Rattus norvegicus: one gene and its partner. The protein of the gene in region 1 interacts with the protein of each later gene in a biochemical or structural test. Links are inferred from orthologs where the notes say so. Each region holds a gene or a part of one and is shown in the gene's direction. Other genes may lie near its edges.

Region 1 (3,749 bases):
GAATTTAACCTACCGACTCCCGCGCTCCCCACTGGAGTCCAGCCTCTGCCTCTTGGGGAAGGCCGGCCTATGGCGCGCTTGGGGTTCATTGGCTCGGAGAGACGCAACTCAGGCAAGAAAAACCCGCCTCCCACATTCCGATGGCCCAAGGACCGGTTGGTAGGCAGCTATAGGAAGACCCAATTGGCCTATACACTCGCCAGTCAAACGCTTCGGCAACGCAGCTTCACCGAACCTGCAAGGATAAAACATCCCGCCCCAGTTGTCCTATTGGCTGGCCCGACCCGTCGCGGCCCCTTCACCGTCGTCTCCCCCCCCCCCCCAGTTCAGCGGTCCATTCATTTCGTACAATAACCGGTGCAATTGGAGCAGGTTCAAGATCTCGTACGGGTAGACAAGACTCTGCCACTTACCCGGGATCTAAAGTGATCACTCACACTAAGGCCTGCACGGTTCCTCTGTGGCAAAGCGGCACCACAAGCCACCGCTACCGCCGCCTTCTGCGCAATGCCAACCGCCCGCCAAAACGGATCCTTCCCTGCGCCTGCGCAACCAATCCCGGGCTTGGACCTTTTCTCCGCCCAAAACGCCTGCGCAAAACAGAACACAGGTCCCTCCACTACGCAGGCGCCTACGAACCTCGTATCCCTCTCCCGCCCGCCATTTCACGTGTTCCAGACAGCAGGCGGAACTTCGTACTGCGCCGGCGTAAACTCGCCATTTTTATTACACATGCGCTTTATAGCTGGGAAAAGTCGCGGCGAACTACTTTCTAACGTATCGTCCTTTGCCGAGTGAGTTTGTAACATTCGGGTGTGGGGAAGGTATAAAACACATTTAAAGACGTGAGTACATTCAAATATAAATTACTGGCTAGCTAGCCAATCAATGTGGTTAAGAATAAGATCCCTTGGGGCGTCAATGACTCAAAGGGGCGGGGACTGAGTAGAACGCCCAAACGGATGCCGTTTCTTAGCAGGGCGTTTTTACAGGCCAATGGTGGGAGGGAACAATTTCAAATCTCCAATAAGACTGAAGCAAGGGCGGAGTCTACCAATGCCGAAAGCGAGGAGGCGGGATAAAAGGGAGAGCAGAAGGTAGGCTGCCGGACACGTTCGCTATCTTATTCCTTTCTGCTCTTTGACGCTGGCGAGGAAGCATCGCTGAACGCTCTCATCATCCTACCGTCATGTCTAAGTCAGAGGTGAGTTGAGCGCGCTCTGCAGCTTCGCTTTCTTCCACACTTACTGAATATGACGGGATGTGACCTGTTTTGTCGCTGGCTCCCGTGCTTTCGGTGTTTGATCGATTACTGCTGAGGCCTACTTTAAAAAATGCAGGTCGCCATTTTGTCCTCATAGTCACCATGAGGCTGCGATCCGACAGCCATTAGTTTCTACGCACTGTTCCTTTTGGCAGAATTCTTACACTTAACGATCTGGGGTTTGTGGCCTTTTTTTCGTTTTTCCCTATCTGGTCTAATGATCTCTTGTTAAAGAGATACTAAGTCTTAATGGCGATGGACCAGACCAACCTGTGTCTTTTGTTGCGCCTGCGTATGAAGTAACAGGACGCATGCGCCGCGTGCAACTCGAGTCCCCAGTCAAGCCCAGGAAGGAGCACGTGGTCTTGTGCAGTAATAAAGAACAATAAAAAAGTGTGGCGTGTGTTGATGAATGGTGTTGATTCATTCGCCCAAGTTTCAGGCCCTCCACTAAGCCCCCTCTTTCCCCCACTTTATTTTAGTCCCCCAAGGAACCGGAACAGCTGCGGAAGCTCTTCATTGGAGGGCTGAGCTTCGAAACAACCGACGAGAGTCTGAGGAGCCATTTTGAGCAATGGGGAACACTCACCGACTGTGTGGTAAGATTTAAAAAAACAAAAGGAAGAGCTGCCTTATTTCTTCTGATTTAACCTTGACGCTTCTTAGCTAAATGTTTTGTGAAGTTAATTAATGGGATACTAAAAATCATCGTTGTGGAGCTTTGCTAACAAGATCTGTAAAAGAGCTTTTTATTTTCTGACTCTGGATGGAGTTTCATGTTTGCAGCGCTCTGACTAGGAATGACTTTTTGGCTTTGTGATCAGGCACTGTGTTGATTGAATTAACTCTAAACAGGTAATGAGAGATCCAAACACCAAAAGATCCAGAGGCTTTGGGTTTGTCACATATGCCACTGTGGAGGAAGTGGATGCTGCCATGAATGCAAGACCACACAAGGTGGATGGAAGAGTTGTGGAACCTAAGAGAGCTGTGTCAAGAGAAGTGAGTGGTTTTTCCTAATAGCTGGTTCTTTTTTAACCTGAGATTGTAATGGGGCAGATCTCAACTGGGAGATCCTCCCTCCTGAGTGAAATTAAAGGCATGTGCCACCACAGGTGTCAATCATTTAGGAATGTGCTGCTACTAAATAACTGGAGTCATTTTTCCTTTTAGGATTCTCAGAGACCAGGTGCCCACTTAACTGTGAAGAAGATCTTTGTTGGCGGTATTAAAGAAGACACTGAAGAACATCACCTACGAGATTATTTTGAGCAGTATGGGAAAATTGAAGTGATTGAAATTATGACTGACAGAGGCAGTGGAAAAAAGAGGGGATTTGCGTTTGTCACCTTTGATGACCATGACTCTGTGGATAAGATTGTTAGTAAGTATCAGAGGATTACATTTTCCTTTATGATTCTGGAGTTCACATGTTTTTTTAAAAGTCCTGAATTTAATTTTTCCTCTTAGTTCAGAAATACCATACTGTGAATGGCCACAACTGTGAAGTAAGAAAGGCTCTGTCGAAACAAGAGATGGCTAGTGCTTCATCCAGCCAGAGAGGTGTGTTTATTGCTTGGTTAGACTTGGGGTGAGGAGGACACTGTTAGTTATTACAGGTTAACCTAATGATCCAAAATTTCTTTTAAGGTCGAAGTGGTTCCGGAAACTTTGGTGGTGGTCGTGGAGGTGGTTTCGGTGGCAATGACAATTTTGGTCGAGGAGGGAACTTCAGTGGTCGTGGTGTGTATGGCTTTGTTTGGCTCCTTGTTGGTTTTAGAACTTATAACTAGTAATTGCTACCCTGTGTCCCCAGCACTTACAGGTTTTGATATTTGATAAGTATTCATTCACGTACAAAGCCTGGTTTAAAGCTTTGGTTTCTTCCAGGTGGCTTTGGTGGCAGCCGTGGTGGTGGTGGATATGGTGGCAGTGGGGATGGCTATAATGGATTTGGCAATGATGGTAAGTTTCTTAAGGAGTCTGTAAGGAGTGGTTTCTGGCGACCTCTACCTTTAGAATAGGCTACTAGAGACTAAACCTAGTGCATGACAAAGTTCAGTCAGCCCCGTAAAATGCATGCCCTGAGCAGCCTTTAGCTATTTAACTTGCGTAGATTTTTCTTGTTAAATACTTTTGTCTTATTGAGAAGACTTGTATTCTTGTAGGTGGTTATGGAGGAGGCGGCCCTGGTTACTCTGGAGGAAGCAGAGGCTATGGAAGTGGTGGACAGGGTTATGGAAACCAGGGCAGTGGCTATGGCGGGAGTGGCAGCTATGACAGCTATAACAACGGAGGAGGCGGAGGCGGCTTTGGCGGTGGTAGTGGTAGGTATCCAGTGACGCAGGTACTTGGTGCGGAGCTAGATGAGACTTCCAGGGTTTATGCCCGTCTCAGACTTCACGGCTGGCTCTTAGAGCATTGTAGGTACATTGCATGGTGCGTGCAAATAGGCTTGCTATGCTACCTCCTCCTGGCTTTAAGC
Region 2 (3,749 bases), on another chromosome or scaffold:
CTTTTTTTGGAGCTGGGTACCGAACCCAGGGCCTTGCGCTTCCTAGGTAAGCGCTCTACCACTGAGCTAAATCCCCAGCCCTCAAGTCCTCTTTTTTATAACCTAATTCTTCAGTGCCCAGCATCTGACCCTCCCTCCACAGGCAGAGATTACAGGCATGTACCACCAGGTATGGTTTATGCAATATTGGGGATCAGGAACACCCACTCCTTTTTCCAATTCTAAAAACTTGGAAATAGTTTCAAGGTCTTCCTCATCTGCAGAGCGAGTTTGAGGGCCCGTCTGAGATACACTTGATCTTGTCTGAGAAAGGCAGCAAATCGCTTGAAAGCATTTTTCTAAATGCTCAGGGGCTTCGTAGATATTAAGAACTGAAGTGTATCGGCAAGACTGGATTCTCTCACTTTCATACAGCCGGTGACCAGTGAAGGCTGAGTGAATGAAAACTATGTGTGAACCGGATGTGGTGGCTTTAATCCCGGAACTCAAGAGGCAGAGGCACATAGAGAAACCCTATCTTGAAAAACGGGGGAGGGAGAAACAGGGGCAGAATGAAAAAGGGAGGAAGGAAGAAAGGAAGGAATGAGAAAGAAAAGTGGAAATAAGTCACGTATAAAACGAGAGTTAAAGCCTACGTCATGGGGTTGGGGATTTAGCTCAGTGGTAGAGCGCTTGCCTAGCAAGCGCAAGGCCCTGGGTTCGGTCCCCAGCTCCGGAAAAAAAAAAAAAAAGAAAAAAAAAAGCCTACGTCATCCTGTCTCCACTTAGCTCTGCCGGGTCATCTGAAAACCACGTGGTCTATTTAGCTGGAGTTTCCGGTGACCTCGCCCCACCTCCAAACTCAGTACTTGTGCATTGGCTGAAGTATTTTGTCCCTTGGGAGGACCCGTAGCTCCAGCCTCCCGGTGTCCGTAGCCGGGAAACCTGGCGTCCGGCGTTTTAGGCTGAGGTCCGCGATGTCGAGTGAGGAAGTCCGGCACCGGGCAGAGTCCTCTGAGGCCCGTGCGGCCGCGGTCAGCGACATCCAGGAGCTGATGCGACGCAAGGAGGAAATCGAGGCGCAGATCAAGGCTAATTACGACGTCCTCGAGAGCGTGAGTGTGGCAGACAGGATGGGGAGGCCTAGTGATGAGGCTTGGGGTTCCTGCCAAGCAGAATCCTAGGGGGCCTTTGCTGCGGGCCAGACGCCGTTTTTAAGTACTTTCCCCTGACGTGGGATTTATTTTCATTTTCGGAAGCATTAACTTTGCATTTTTAAGCTTCTTGTTTGTTTGTTTGTTTTTAACGCAGCCCCAAGCTGGCCTCGAACTCGTGATCCTTCACAGACTTGTGCCACCGTGGTAGGCCTAACGCATTAGTTAAACTGCCTTGGTCACAGGGATAGAATATTTGCTGAGGCATAGTGATAATCGCCACTGTCACCTTCTATAGGTAATGGTACAAGGTTTGGTGCGCCTTGTACCCCGCTTTTCATTAGGACTTTTTAAGTGTCAACTGTGAGAATTAACTGGGCATCTTGTCACATTGCATGTTGTAGCCAGGGAAGACATCCTTATTTAATCCCAGCACCTGGAAAGTGGAGGCAAGAGGATCAAAACTTCAGGGTTATTCTTGCCTACACAGTAAGCTCGAGGCCAGCCTGGGCTATATTAGACCTTGTCTCAAACATACAAACAAACAAAGTAAAAATAAAATGCAGATTCCAATTGGGGTGGGGAAAAGACTCTGTATTTCGGGATAACTCCCACCTCTGCTACTAAGGCTCCTTTGAGTAATGACAGATAAAGCGCATTACCCTTACTGTAAATGGGGAAACTGAGGCCCAGAGTGGAGCAGATGCACCAAAGAGGCAGTGGTTGGCTCAGTGATGTTTATCTCTTAAGCAGATGTATTTTTCTTAAAACCACAAGTCAGTTTGTAGAGGAAGGGGAGGCTAAATCACACTCAGATAGGCTGGGTGCAATGACTCCTGGGGGACAGGTGTCACATAATGGATCCTCTAGAGGTTCTATATGCCAGGTAGGTGCTGACCATATGCCTGAAAGGTAGTATCTTGTATGTGTGTTGTATCAGGAGATTGTCACAACTCCATTGTTAAGTCGTGTGTGTCCCTGAAGCTCAAAGAGGCAGAGTCAGGGGCTGGAGAGATGGCTCTGAGTTTAAAGACACTGGCTGCATAATCGTGAGAACTGGAGTTCAAATCCTGCACTCACCGTATTACAATTCACGTGTCCCACAAACACCTGTAACTCCACATGCTCGGGGATACATTTAAACAGACACAAATCTCTTTTAAAAAATAATAACCTCTGTGTGTGTGTGTGTGTGTGTGTGTGTGTGTGTGTGTGTGTGTGTGTAAGTAAGAAGTCACTTGTTTTAAGTCACAGACCTCAGGGCTGGCAAACCTTAGACCTGTACTGAAAGTAGGTAAAAAGCAGTTTTTGTTTTGTTGATCGAATAAGTATTTCTCTTTGTAGCTCTGGCTGTCCTAAACGCAGAGATCCACCAGGCTCTGCCTCCCAAGTACTAGGATTAAAGGCGTGCACTATCCCCGCCTGGCCAAAACTCGTTTCTTTTTTTTTTTTTTTTTTCTTTTTTGGTTCTTTTTTTCGGAGCTGGGGACCGAACCCAGGGCCTTGCGCATGCTAGGCAAGCGCTCTACCACTGAGCTAAATCCCCAACCCCCAAAACTCATTTCTTAAACTGAAGTTACTTGCCTACTCAAGGAGAATCATACACCTCACATATTGTCTTTTGGTATTGGTCTATTCTTTACTATTTAGCTGGGTGCGGTATTGTATACCTGCAACCTCACGGGAGCAAAGGCATGGAGATTGCCGCACGTTCAGGGCCAGTCTGTTCTACACAGAGAATTCCAGTGAAACAGCAAGGCCCCGTCTGAACAAACCAGCGGTAGGTAGAGGAGCTGGGGAGCTACTGTCAAATGCATCCCTCACACACTCGAAGACCTGAGTTCAGTCCTTAGAACTCATGGGTATAGTGGTCCTTGTCTGTAATCCCAACTGGACAGGCAGAGACAGGAAGATCCCCGGGGTTTATGGCCAGCCAGTCTAGCCTGTGTGACGAGCTGTAGGCTGGTGAGACTCCCTGTCTCAAAGGAGGTAGACAGTGTTCCTGCGGATGCCCCCTTGAGATTATCCTGCGACCGGCTCATTGCATGGCATGCATATGTATGTGCACACACAGGTACCCCTGCATGCATACACACAAACACATGCATTAAAAACCAAATAAGAGGAAAAATTATAACTGTGCTGCACAAAATCTGAGGCTGTTTTCTCTTAACTGTAAGGTAAGAGTGTATGCTAATTGCTTTGACTAACTTGGTTTTTGGTTGCTGAGGGCTTGAAGCTTAAAAGTCTGCTCTGATTTTTAATTAATTAAAAAGACAGGCTCCCAGCTGGGTGGTTGTATCTCACTTCTTTAATACCAACACTTGGGAGGCAGAGGCAGACGGATCTCTTGAGTTTGAGTTTGAGGCCAACCTGGTATACAGAGTGAGTTCCAGGACAGCCATGGCTACACAGAAAACAGAAAAACAAAACAGGGAAAAAAAAAAAAAAAGACAGGCTCTCAGGTGTTCAGCTTAGACTACATATGTGAGACCCAGTCCCTCCCCCACATAAAAGTAAAAAGAAATTATGAAAGGAAAATGATAAATTAGATATCACTGCTAAAAACTCCCCTTTCATAATACTTAGTCAAGAATATGAAAAGAGAAGCCACAG

What was found.
Region 2: the proteins of Hnrnpa1 (region 1) and Psmd9 interact in a test that uses a peptide from one of them, tested with the Homo sapiens proteins (3 studies listed by BioGRID and IntAct, with this or other methods). The link is inferred for Rattus norvegicus from reciprocal best matches to the Homo sapiens genes HNRNPA1 and PSMD9.

The regions. Positions count from the first base shown.
Region 1 is NC_086025.1:136,252,970-136,256,718, forward strand, and holds the start of Hnrnpa1 (heterogeneous nuclear ribonucleoprotein A1), read left to right. Parts: upstream 1-1,148; 5' UTR 1,149-1,189; coding exon 1,190-1,204; intron 1,205-1,248; exon of another isoform or gene 1,249-1,606; intron 1,607-1,746; coding exon 1,747-1,863; intron 1,864-2,119; coding exon 2,120-2,266; intron 2,267-2,437; coding exon 2,438-2,648; intron 2,649-2,734; coding exon 2,735-2,827; intron 2,828-2,914; coding exon 2,915-3,007; intron 3,008-3,154; coding exon 3,155-3,229; intron 3,230-3,432; coding exon 3,433-3,591; intron 3,592-3,749. UniProt on the Homo sapiens protein: Involved in the packaging of pre-mRNA into hnRNP particles, transport of poly(A) mRNA from the nucleus to the cytoplasm and modulation of splice site selection.
Region 2 is NC_086030.1:39,015,412-39,019,160, reverse strand, and holds the start of Psmd9 (26S proteasome non-ATPase regulatory subunit 9), read left to right. Parts: upstream 1-896; 5' UTR 897-956; coding exon 957-1,094; intron 1,095-3,749. UniProt on the Homo sapiens protein: Acts as a chaperone during the assembly of the 26S proteasome, specifically of the base subcomplex of the PA700/19S regulatory complex (RC).